Linked DNA regions of Bombyx mori. The protein of the gene in region 1 purifies or fractionates together with the protein of each later gene. This does not show direct contact. Links are inferred from orthologs where the notes say so. Each region holds a gene or a part of one and is shown in the gene's direction. Other genes may lie near its edges.

Region 1 (6,236 bases):
TCAGCTTAGGTTGCAAAAGGTACTGCTTGAAGAGTGCATTCTCTGTACCAAGAAGGTAATGAATATTGGTCCAAGTAAGGTAATATTATGGTTGATGCTGTATTTGAGCCTCAATGAAGACATTTAATATTTTGGGATAGTCACCACTAATCTGAGTAGGTCTCATTGACTCCCCACCTGATATTAATAGTGATGATATTCCCTCATGGAAGTGATAAATATTAATAGCTCGACAAAAATTCATACTTGCCTGTGATATTTGAACATCAGAACACTTGTATCTCTTGAAATTATTACCAGAGGCATCTCATTTAGGTTTTGATGATTATAACTTCATTTCAGCTCCTCTGTAGTTTGGTTCTTGCACAAAAATTAAACGTAAAACTGTTCAACAATAGCAGCAGCGACACAAAAAAAAACTGAAGTAAAATTAAATAGTTTTCTAATAAAAGATATCAAGAATATTCATTATTTGTCATGATGGATGAATTATAGATTAATCATATATATTAGAATCGGTTCCAACTACTATTAATTATGAACCTGAATGATGACAGTTTCACCATTGAAAGTACTCATTGAATTGAAAGAAATCCATCATTATTAAATATGTAATATTATGAAATAAATCATGGAAAACTTGCACATAAACATGCTTTTTAGCATATAAGCTTTGATTCTTAGATTATAGCTATCTAAGATTATAGCAATAGAGAATCATAAGTAACAACAAATTTCAAAACACCATTAATTAATTGATAGCATATTGATTTATGCCAATAAAAGCATTTGAGTCAGTGAACTGAAACTCAGTTACATTATACTCTCTGAATGTGTTATGAAAGGTTCACATAATTTAATAGTTAATGTTTACCTACAGTCAACTTTGTTCTTAGCATATCTTTTTTATTGCGTAGATGGTCACACAATGAGGTCACAGTCCACTAAGACAAAATTAGTTAACAGAGTCCATAGACATCACCAGGTGAACGCTCCCAATAACTATGCGAAGTCTCCATTTAAATTGAATCACATGACTTCCAATCAGTAAAAATGGGAACAGCGGTACCTATTCATACAGGCTTATAATATATTTTACCAGAAAATTGATACACATCTATTCAGTAATTGCTACTTAAGTAGCTTTAAAGTGTGTCCAAGAATAGACTCCTTGTATGTGGCAAAGTTTTTATATTGTTAATGATAGGGACAACAGCTGTATTTAACATTGTTCTACTGTCAATGTTATCTCATTCATTGCTTAAGCATTCATCGGATAATTTGATTTTCCAGTAATCTTTAATAAAGATGAGAAATTGTGTTTTTGTTTTTATTTTCTTAATGATACGAACATAAATGGCTGCTCATTTGTAATACTTGAGAGTGCTTTGTTTTCCAGTACTTTTACCTAAAATAACCAAGCATTTTGTAGCAAAACACATACACACAACAATTGTACAATTGAGTTGAATTCTATGACACTATTGGATATTTAATAATTAAAGTCAGATAGATACCTTATTTAAATGAATTGATCATATGACTTTTATTAAAGCAAATATTTGGTGCATATGTTCATTGTACTATCAATACATATCAATATACTGTCCATCAATTGATTGATTGACTGTATTAGAGGGTTGTCAAGAGATTGAGCCTATACACTGTCTTCAACCTTGAAATATGATGTTGGAGTATTGCAGAGTACAATTGCCATGGGATAACTACTGTTCTATGTTTTAATCTTCATCAGTAATTACTTAAAAAATAACGTGATTGAAAATCATGTTTCTAAGAATACATTTTTTTTTGTATTTTCAAATGAATTCTGTGCTTTATACTCTCCGTATAAATTAAATTAGAGTAAACATCATTCTGTAAGTAAACCAAAATGCCTCCAATTACAATACATAGTAAATTTTATAATAATTCGTTTTATTTTAAACAGGTATGTGATCTCCCGGTGAGATCAGCAAAGTTTGTTCCCCGGAAGAACTGGGTGATAACTGGCTCAGATGACATGCAGATACGTGTATTCAACTACAACACCCTGGAGAGGGTTCACTCATTTGAAGCACATTCGGATTATGTGCGATGCATAGCCGTTCATCCCACACAACCGTACATATTGACTTGCAGTGGTGAGTACTTGAAAGAAATAGATGTACTTGTCTACAATTTGCATAAAAACAATCACAAATTCTGTTTTACTTGGTTTGATTTATTTTATTTAGCTTAATAATATATAAGTATGTTTGTCCGATGAAGTCTACAAAACCTTGGGTTTTATTTTAAAGCTGTTAAATGAACTTGAGGAATATTTAATTTTAATTGTAGCTTGTAAGATATAAGATAGTTTGAACTATTGAAAATAATTGTAGGGGTTTCTGATCTGTATCTAATTTTACTACACGGAAAGGAACAGAGAGAAAAAATATGATGAGCTTGGAATGACTTAGGCTTATCAAGCATTACATACTGCATATTGACAAAGAGAATTTAGAAAAAATACAGTATCAAATAAACACAATATTTCAGATGATCTCCTAATCAAATTGTGGAACTGGGACCGTAATTGGACATGTCAGCAAGTATTCGAAGGGCATACGCATTACGTAATGCAGATCGTTATCAACCCGAAGGATAACAATACCTTCGCAAGCGCAAGTCTCGACACTACTGTGAAGGTAGGAATAATGGCGACGTATTGACGCCAACTGCGTTAAGATCCTTTCTCTTGTTGACATAGATCAGTAAAGGCGATAAAGCTCTTGTGGTAATTAGTGCTTACAACGAGAATGTTGCCGCGTACTTTAGGACATGAGAGATGGTATCGGTTTCGTGGTTAACCATGGACTCTGAATGATGAATGGATTATGGGCAATGAGCACTGAAACTGATGGTGAGGAGTGTTAGCTCGCATGTGTAGGTACCACGAACCTGTCTCATCCTGCCGCGAAGCAGACATGCCATCTAGTTTGAAGGGTGAAATAATTAGCTTTTACACAATGTAATGGGGGCCTTGACCTCATGTCTGAAGGTATCCATAAAGGGACAACATTCACGTAACGATGTCTAAAATAGTTGAACTTTCTTAATGTTTATCGTACTATTTTTAGGTTTGGCAACTTGGTGCTTCTATATCGAACTTCACTTTAGAAGGTCACGAGAAAGGCGTCAACTGCGTGGACTATTATCATGGCGGTGACAAGCCCTACCTCATCAGTGGAGCTGATGACAGGCTCGTCAAAATATGGGATTACCAAAATAAGACATGTGTACAAACATTGGAAGGTAAGTTTTGATAGAAGATTGTGCGTTTCTTAGTCCTGCATTGATTTAATCCGAGCTTTAAAAAAATCAAATAAAAATATATATTCCTGGGACTTATTACGAGAAGTAGACGACAGAATGTCATCGGGTTGGGATGGGGCCTAAATACGCAAACATAACTTATCTCATTCTTGGACAGGTCATGTTCAGAATGTATCAGCAGTATCATTCCACCCCGAGCTTCCGATCCTGCTAACCGGTTCTGAAGACGGCACCCTCAGAATATGGCACGCAGGCACCTACAGGCTCAAGTCTTCCCTAAATTATGGTTTCGAAAGAGTATGGACGATATCCACCATGCACGGTTCGAACAACGTCGCTGTAGGGTGAGTTTCTTGATGATTACTCAAGATGTGAGTTATTTTAGTCAATTGGCGATTATATTTTAATTAAATGTAGGTTTCATTATTACGATAAATTGGATCAAAGTAATATCTGGTTGTAATGGTAGGAGACTTAATTATTTTTCTCAATATTAATTTCACGTTTGTTATTGATAGGTATGACGAAGGTACGATAATGATAAAAGTGGGCAGAGAAGAGCCTGCTATATCTATGGACGTGAACGGAGGAAAGATTATCTGTGCTAAGCACTCTGAATTGCAGCAGGTCAACTTGAAGGCTCTCCCTGAAGGTAACAAAGCAAAATTAAAATCAAATGTTCAGTTTGGTAGTTTTCTTATCTTGTAATAAGACGCATTAATAAAAGATAGAAAAAGTGTGTATGAGTGTGAGAGAGAAAGAAATATTTAAATACTTATTCTGCTGGCACTCAAGATAAGACCCCAAATACTCTTTACTGCCTATAAAATTATAAAATACTAATAAAATAGCATTGTCTATTTTTCTCGAATCAACAGAACTTTCATTACAAACACAAAATTGATTTTGAAGTATTGTTTAAAATTCAAAATTCGCTAAAAATTCAATCATTGCAACACAGTTCTTTCAATATTTAGGCACAGAAATAAAGGACGGAGAGCGTGTACCAGTCGTTGCTAAAGACATGGGCTCCTGCGAGATATACCCACAAACGATAGCCCACAATCCGAACGGTAGATTCGTGGTGGTGTGCGGTGATGGTGAGTTCATCATATACACCGCGATGGCTCTGAGGAACAAGGCGTTCGGGACGGCCCAGGAGTTTGTATGGGCATTCGACAGCTCAGAGTATGCGACTCTAGAGAATTCATCTTCAGTTAAAGTCTTCAAGAATTTCAAGGAGAGAAAAAGCTTCAAGCCCGAGTACGGTGCTGAAGGTGAGAACAGTACGATATTTTTTTATTTCCATTTTACTTTGTGATTAAATTTTGTAAACGGGTTTAAAAGTCGACAGGGTCAAGAATGGAGTTATTTATATAATTTTATGGTTACGCACAACAAATTTAACTACTTTAAATCACATATCAGCTGATTTCTTGTTTATATGAAAAAATCTCTTTACTACTAGTATGAATACATGATTTTCTAAATAATATACTGAAACAATCTAATAAAAATGCTCAAGTTTAGTTTATGATTGTAAAAGTTAAAAGTATTATCGAAATGAATAATACTGTTTACCGTTGTAAGATTATACTGTAGTGTTTTGTTCAGGTATATTCGGAGGTTACATGCTCGGCGTGAAGTCTATCAGCGGAGTAGCATTCTCGTTCTACGATTGGGAACATTTGGAACTGGTCAGACGGTACGATTCTCATCTCTATCTAATTTAGATGTTTACAAGAAATTATGTTTCTAAAGCCTTTAAGAAGAGTTGTTATGTTTACAATTTTTTTGTTGCGACAACAATTTGCTCAATGTCTCTCATGTCCTTTTTATACCACTAAACTAACGATTGTTCAACAGTATTGAGATTCAGCCTCGTCACGTGTTTTGGTCTGAAAGCGGGAACCTTGTGTGTTTGGCTACCGATGAAACTTACTTCATCCTGAAGTACAACGCTGCCGTGGTGACCAGAGCAAGGGAGACTAATACCGACATTACTGAGGATGGAATTGAAGATGCGTTTGAGGTAACAAAATTATAAATTATACTAAGGCGGTCAGATGATGATTACAGTTCAATTGAAGCTTAACACGAAATGGATCATCTTCGTCTGCCCTTCTACGCCAGATGTCGCTGCGCTAGCAAAATCTTTTTTCATCATATCTGAATACAGAAGTCACTAATGTTCCTTTAACTCTCATTATTGTGTCTTTGTACCCTCGTATACTGCTTACAGCTAAATACATAATCAGTCACAGCTTACTGAGTTGAGTTAAAGGGTTTTTTCCCTTCATGAAATGGTCAGAATTTTAAAAATAAAATATCTAATTGCAAACGTGTAGAATTTCTTTATTTTTTTTCTAGCTAACGGCATATCTTTAAACTTTAGCTTATGAATGAAGTTAAGAAAAATAAAACATTCTTCATAATTGAGTTCCATGTAAGAATACACATAGGTATTTATTTAAACAAAATTGAATATGTTAGATTTTTTCTCTTTTTTTTTTAATCCACCTGATGGTGAGTGGTTACCGTCGCCCATGGACTTCAGCAATGCCACGAGCAGAGCCAAATCGCTGCCTACCGTAAAATAATATCTTACATTCAACAGGTAGTTGGTGAAGTCAACGAAACAGTGAAGACAGGCATATGGGTCGGAGATTGCTTCATATATACCAACACACTGAACAGGATAAACTACTACGTCGGCGGTGAGATTGTAACGGTTGCGCATCTCGACCACACTATGTACATACTGGGATACGTTGCTAAGGAGAACAGGTAAATCTTAATCTATATATGAGGCCTATAAAATCAAAGGCAGCTAAATCCAATTCAAATATTCAGGTAAACTACAAAAATCGGTCCTAAACACGTCATTACGGATCCTCCTGATCCATCGAAGTACTGCTCTT
Region 2 (6,749 bases), on another chromosome or scaffold:
GCTAGCAATATTCTTAGCAAGAGCAGTGCTTCGCAGCATCTACCACCAGATCGGAAACGCGATTCAGTAAATCTGGGGGCTATAATTTTGTCTAACACTAGGAAAAACTGAAGAAAATACTAGGTCAATTTTATTTTTACGCAGTTTTATTGGAGATGTTTAAATGTCCAACAGTTTTAATACCTTTTTTACAATTACTACATTCGTTGATGGTAACAATTCTTGTTTGCTTTATTTCAACATTTCTCCAGTCAATTTTAAAAATATCACTATCAAATTAGCGTATGATAAATTACACGCTGACACAGTGCTTGAACATCTACATTTCGGAAATAAAAGAACACATTTACGGTGCAGTCTACAACACTAAATGAGCTGTCCCAAGAATTTTTGTACTTTATCTAAAAAATTTTTGATAACAGTAACAGAAATTTACAAATCATCTTGGAGTATATAACAACATATTTGCAGAGGGAGGGACCATCTATGCCTATTTCATCTTACCTTACCTATTTATCATTGCATTAAAGTTTACCAAGCTTGGTTGAGATATCAATTCAGTTCCAGTAATTAAGATTATTAGCACTGAATTTCGAGTTGACAAATTCATTGAATATATTTAAGAATTCAAGTTTCTTTTTTTTTCCAAAGTGTGGTATGATCCAATTATTAAAAAAATTCAAAGGAACATTATTCATCAATTAAGCATGCAATACTGATTAACATATCATAACTGATGTTATATTTAAAGTATACTTGGTAAAGAAACAGGATAAACCCAGTTTTTTATCTTAAAAGGGTATTGTATATTGATAAAACGACAGTAAACATAAAAATCATTGATAAAAAAATCCAACTTTAGTATTCATTTATTACTTCAGCTCAAATAGTGTTGATGACACTATATAAAAATAATGAACATGCTAACTACGTTAAACACATATGTCTTACGAAAGGTCTGTTATCGTAGGGCTCCTCTTGAGATATTGTTGGGGAGCGTAACAGTGGGTCGCGGTCGCCTGACTCTTCACCGCGGCCCGCTGTGGCCCTTCGTTCAGTTTGGGCACTGCACGTGTCACATCTCCTCATTTCTACACATAATCGCCACTACGGACTGTAAATTTTGCCCTCGAATATTTGCCGATTAGGTTTAAGCCTAAGGTTTTTTTTTTTGTGAAATATTTACTTTTAAGCCTTCATCTAGTTGAATTATAATTTTAATCAAATGAAGGTATGTTGAAATTGAACTGAAAATTATACCTGATAAAAATTAATAAAATATTTTTTACTGTCATTCTCCTACGTTCTGTAAAAGAACATCAAACATCTAAAACTCATTCAAAAGTAAAATATTAATAAAGATATTATTATGTCAACAGCATGCAAGTACCTCATTGTCACTGTCAATCAAAGATGTTTCTTCCATTAGAATAAAACTAAGACCAACTACAAATGTGTAAAATCTTGAAAAATAATTACTTGCGTACGTATTAACAGAGATAATCGCTTTTGACTAATGAAATTGAACTATCAAAACAAGACTGACTTTTCGTCTGACGATTATCACTGTTTCGGCACGAAATCGTCATTGTATGCAAATTAAATTGTCTGACCATTAGCGAATATAACGTAGATAAGATTCAAAGACTCTAGCATGTGTCCTGTCGAGTTATAGCTACGAAAATATTTCAAATTCACTTACTACGGTTATTTGGCTTCTTTGATGTGTAAGCAAATTCCGTATACATTAACCGGCCGCGTCACAATGTAGCCTCCATTGTGAGCATAATACATGAATGAACAATAATATGTAATTATTATTTAAAAAAAAATATTTTTTTAATTTACTGATAATTTATGAACAATTATCCTCAACGTGCCTTGATTTACAGCATAGATTATACACTTAATGATTTACAGACACTGACTTTTGACATTTAAGCACAGATTACTGAAATTTATATTTTGACTACTTAGTATTTATACTAGGTATGTTCCTCTTGTAATTGTCATTGACAAATAATCTTTGACAGTTTAGATGAGATCTTTTCTTTGTCTAAGTTATAGCTGGGTTTTTTCATAAACCAAATCTTAGCAGTTAGAAATGTTGGATAAAAATTGTTTAATCCGAACTATTTTGAATGACTTCCCTGTGAATTACTCTCTAACACCAAGTTCACCAATTATCTTTATCTAGAATTGGCAGTTAACCATAGAGGCTTTTTGGCGGGAACGCTAGGAGTGAAGTTGTGTGATTTGTTTTATTTTGTCGATTTAGTGTTTCTTCAGGTTTAATTATGTAATAACGGTGGTTTATTAACTGCTTAGTATCTGTGAAAGTGCACAAATATGGGAAAATCAAACAAAGCCGCTGAACGTAACTTCTCGGGATCCTCCAAAAAGTCCACTAAAATTCCACTAATTTTACTGAGATTATATTTCATACCATATTATCTCATTTCATCCCAGTTGATTAATGTCTCAAACATGGTCTAACCATAGTCTAACAAAATACTGTTGACGTTTGCTGTCAAATGGTCAACACGTCACCTCATCGTGTGTGTTGTCAAATTTGTGGAAGCCTATCCTAAAATATTTTGGTGTGTTTTATGAAAATTAGATATAAGAATATAAAAACAAGATGGTATGTAACGTTAAATAAAATTAACGTACACTCTTCATCATACATTCCATAAATCCCATTGTTTTAATTCTATTCCTGTAGATATTATTGTGTTCCCGGTCAGTGTTTACTACTGAAATCATATGTATTTTCATGTTATTTCAGGTACTTATAGCCGCTACAGTTTGTACGAAGTCAGGCAAAGGTAATTTATACTACCGATATGTGCTTCAACTACTGACATTTGATACTTTTCATAATATTATTTTAATGTAATATAGTACTTTACTTGTCTATTAATGATGTTCCACTTATTTAGCTCTGGTGTCCCGCCAGTTCGTCGAAATGACAAAAGCTCGCATCGAAGGTCTACTGGCGGCCTTCCCTAAACTAATGACAGGAGGACGGCAGCATACATTTGTAGAAACAGAGTCCGTCAGGTATTTATCATTAACAAATTTTCATTAATATTCTTTACGATGAGTTATTCTTTCTTTTATACCAATGACGAATGTTGTTTATAAGCATACCATTATATTCATCTAATCAATAAATAAGAACTAAAAGTGTAGTGCATTACCCATTACTGCTGTGAATCAGTGTCATATGTCTATTTTGAAAGTTGTTATAATGTACAATAAAGAGTTGAACATTGTGTCTTAAAATGAGTAGCAACATTGTTATTGTCGTTTATATCTATGGGAACTATACACCACAGGAGACATCAGTTTACTCACCTATATGCTGTACAATTATATATAAAGCAAGTTAAAAATTTTTGATACAAAATTATGTCTGACTAAATTTTTTACCACTTTCAGATATGTCTACCAGCCACTAGACAAGTTGTATATGTTACTGATCACGACAAAGGCTAGTAACATCCTGGAAGATCTGGAGACATTGAGACTCTTCAGCAGAGTGGTAAAATATTATTAATCGCATTAAATTTTTATTTATTTAGTACATATATAGTGATAACGACATTGCAGATTGTATCAGTTACAAAAATTTCAGTAGTTTTTTCAGTATTCATTAAAATGAGGGAGGGGCACGGATGTAAACAATTTAAAATTGTACACAAAAGTTCATAGTGCAAGTAATTTTGCACAATTATAGCACAAAATAAAGAACAGATCTGTGGTTCACATTAGGCAAATCAAATAAACTTACATGAATGGGCAAAGAAAAACACTTGAACACTGTATTCTTTGGTATGTCAATTGATTTTGATAAAAAATAATGTTTAGTAACAAATTTTAGTATTATTAATAAACAAATACAAAATATGTACTTGTAAAATAACAAATGTTAGAGTACTGTGTACTCATATTTTGTGTTTTTTTTAGTTTTTTTTAATTGCTTAGAAGGGTGGACGAGCTTACAGCCCACCTGGTGTTAAGTGGTTACTGGAGCCTATGAGGGCTTATGCCAGCATACCCGGGGAGTATGTCGCTAACACTAGCCCTAGCAAGAGCAGTGCTTCGTAGAGTCAATCATTCTCTTATTGTGTGAAACGCATGACAAACTAAGGTTAATCTTTAAAATCTTTTACTGAGCGAATGATATTGCTATGAATATTGACTTTAAGAATCTTGTCGTTCAGAACTTGTGATGCCAGATTATCATGAAAATGTTCTTAGCCTGATTCAGTGTTTTTGTCTTATATTTTTTATTTTACAATTGCTACTGCTATAACGGTTGTCACTGCCAGTGGACATGGGCAACACATGCAACAATATCCACCACTAATGTTCATAAGAAGTCTCATTTAACAATAACAATTTATAACATAAAATTTTTAGGTTGTTGGAGCTGTTTTGCATGCAAAAATAGCAAGTTATCGGTGCTTATTATTTTCTTTCTAGGTACCAGAATATTGTGTACAGCTCACAGAAACTGAAGTCTTGAACCAGGCCTTCAATTTGCTATTTGCTTTCGACGAGATTGTCGCTCTTGGGTACAGAGAAAGCGTCAATCTAGCGCAGGTATGTGTATAAGACAGATGAATTTGATATTGTTACGCCGGTAAGAGTAACGCCATCTATCATCGAATAGCAGAAACGAATATCAAAAGAACTAGTAACATCGAGAGCGCTCGAAATGTGTAACGCCATCTATTATCAAATAGCGGTAAAACATATCGAAAGGAGTCGTCCTGTTGGAAATGTTCTCGATAATTGTGGATTTGTCGTATCGACTATAAAAGCGTTGCAGAGATGACATGAAGGCAGTTTAGTTAACGGTTCTACGGTGAATAGCAAATTGTAAAGTGTTCCTTGAATGTTCTAAGAGTTAAATAGACTTTTAATTTGTACTTCGGTAAAAGATTTATCCCGAGCCTCAGCGCGTAGCAATATGACAGATATATTCAATTCAACTCTTAAGCAGTAATGCGTTTCGGTTCGATGGATGAAATAGCCGCCATACTATTGAGATGTAGACCTCATGTCTCAAGGTGGATGTCAGAATTCACATTATGATATCCACGGCATCTAGTAATCACGAAAAGGTTGGCCGTGAGATCGTTTACCGATTTTCTACATTGCCCTATATAGTCTTGAATTTAAATTTTGCGAATTTTTTTGTTTAAGGTCCGTTCGTTTGTTGAAATGGACTCTCACGAGGAAAAGATTTATCAAGCCGTAAGGCAGGTACGTGTATAAATTTAATAATGTTTTTAATTTTCTTTCTATTGTGATATTCGTCTATAGACAAATTATTCAGCTCACTGTTATTTGATCGGAGTTTCCTGTAAATCAATGTTCCATAAATACGTCCGTGGGTCGCGTGAGTTTAGCAACAACTGGCCTTGGGTTGCCACGTTTAAATAAAAATCATTATAATTTACCTACATGTTTATATTTTTTGTTATTTATATAAAATTAATACAACTGATTAATAAGAAAAGGATTCTCTTAAAATATTTAGGTATCAAGTAAATCCAGCATTTTTTTTTATAAGTTCCTAAATTTTTCTGTGCTATGTGAACCACAGACTAATATATGTTGATATATACGCCTACAAAACACCCAGAAAAATAACAAACAAATGTGTTCATCACACGAATATATGTGGGATTTGAACTCAGGACCCTCGTCCCCGTAGACGGAAGTGCAACCACTGTGCTGTGTATCCGAGTCATTCAACTAGTTACTGCACGATGTGGAAGTAGTGAAACTCATTCGAATATCGTGTGTAATCTGTACATAGATAAACAAAGATAAAATTCTGTTTAATAGCTAATGACTTTAGGTACGGTTTTTTTTTAAAGTTTATAAGTTAACAACACAGATAATATAATACAAAACATAGACTCATTGTGTAAATTTTAAGGCGTCATAGATTATAGTCGAATTCCGATAATTTTACGGGAGTCCCTGGTAATTTAAAGCAGCCGTTGGACTGTTTTATTATTGTTGCCTTTAAAGGGAGGTGAGCTTACGGCCCACCTGATGGTAATTGGTTACCGTCGCTCATGAACGTCATCAATGCCAGGGGCACAGCCAAGTCGCTGCCTACCATTACTCATGCCAGTGTTCCGATATAGCATCATCTGTCTCCATAAAAAAACATTTTTTTTATTTTTTATTGCTTAGATGGATGGACGAGCTCACAGCCCACCTGGTGTTAAGTGGTTACTGGAGCCCATAGACATCTACAACGTAAATGCGCCACGCACCTCGAGATATAAGTTCTAAGGTCTCAGTATAGTTACAACGGCTACTCGACCCTTCGAACCGAAACGCGAAACGCATTACTGCTTCACGGCGGAAATAGACAGGGCGGTGGTACCCACCCGCGCGGAATCACAAGAGGTCCTACCACCAGTGACACACCCACAATTATACGTATTTCTGCCGTGAAGCAGTAATGCGTTTCGGTTTGAAGGATGAAGCAGCCGTTGTAAATATACTGAGACCTTAACCTTATATCTCAAGGTGGGTGGCGCATTTGCGATGTAGATTTCTGGGCTCCAGTAACCACAACACCAGGTGGGCTATGAGCTCGTCCATCCATCTAAGCAATAAATAAATAAATACTTACAAACACTTTAGACCCAAGAACGCGAGGCAGCGAACCGCATGCGCGAACGCGCTAAGGAGTTGCAGCGTGAGAGATTGGA

The links. Proteins that work in one complex are often made in the same cells at the same time.
Region 2: the proteins of COPB2 (region 1) and COPD fractionate together in Homo sapiens (co-fractionation; 5 studies listed by BioGRID and IntAct, with this or other methods). This does not show direct contact. The link is inferred for Bombyx mori from reciprocal best matches to the Homo sapiens genes COPB2 and ARCN1.

Annotation. Positions count from the first base shown.
Region 1 is NC_085107.1:19,806,287-19,812,522, reverse strand, and holds part of COPB2 (coatomer protein complex subunit beta 2), read left to right. Parts: intron 1-1,948; coding exon 1,949-2,141; intron 2,142-2,538; coding exon 2,539-2,687; intron 2,688-3,119; coding exon 3,120-3,294; intron 3,295-3,472; coding exon 3,473-3,659; intron 3,660-3,833; coding exon 3,834-3,967; intron 3,968-4,292; coding exon 4,293-4,592; intron 4,593-4,917; coding exon 4,918-5,020; intron 5,021-5,181; coding exon 5,182-5,347; intron 5,348-5,932; coding exon 5,933-6,102; intron 6,103-6,236. UniProt on the Homo sapiens protein: The coatomer is a cytosolic protein complex that binds to dilysine motifs and reversibly associates with Golgi non-clathrin-coated vesicles, which further mediate biosynthetic protein transport from the ER, via the Golgi up to the trans Golgi network.
Region 2 is NC_085130.1:5,923,233-5,929,981, reverse strand, and holds the start of COPD (coatomer protein complex subunit delta), read left to right. Parts: upstream 1-2,606; 5' UTR 2,607-2,641; coding exon 2,642-2,644; intron 2,645-2,788; coding exon 2,789-2,828; intron 2,829-2,942; coding exon 2,943-3,063; intron 3,064-3,444; coding exon 3,445-3,547; intron 3,548-4,491; coding exon 4,492-4,611; intron 4,612-5,217; coding exon 5,218-5,277; intron 5,278-6,681; coding exon 6,682-6,749. Other genes in the region: deubiquitinase DESI2, read right to left, coding at 952-1,091, 1,703-1,748. UniProt on the Homo sapiens protein: Component of the coatomer, a cytosolic protein complex that binds to dilysine motifs and reversibly associates with Golgi non-clathrin-coated vesicles, which further mediate biosynthetic protein transport from the ER, via the Golgi up to the trans Golgi network.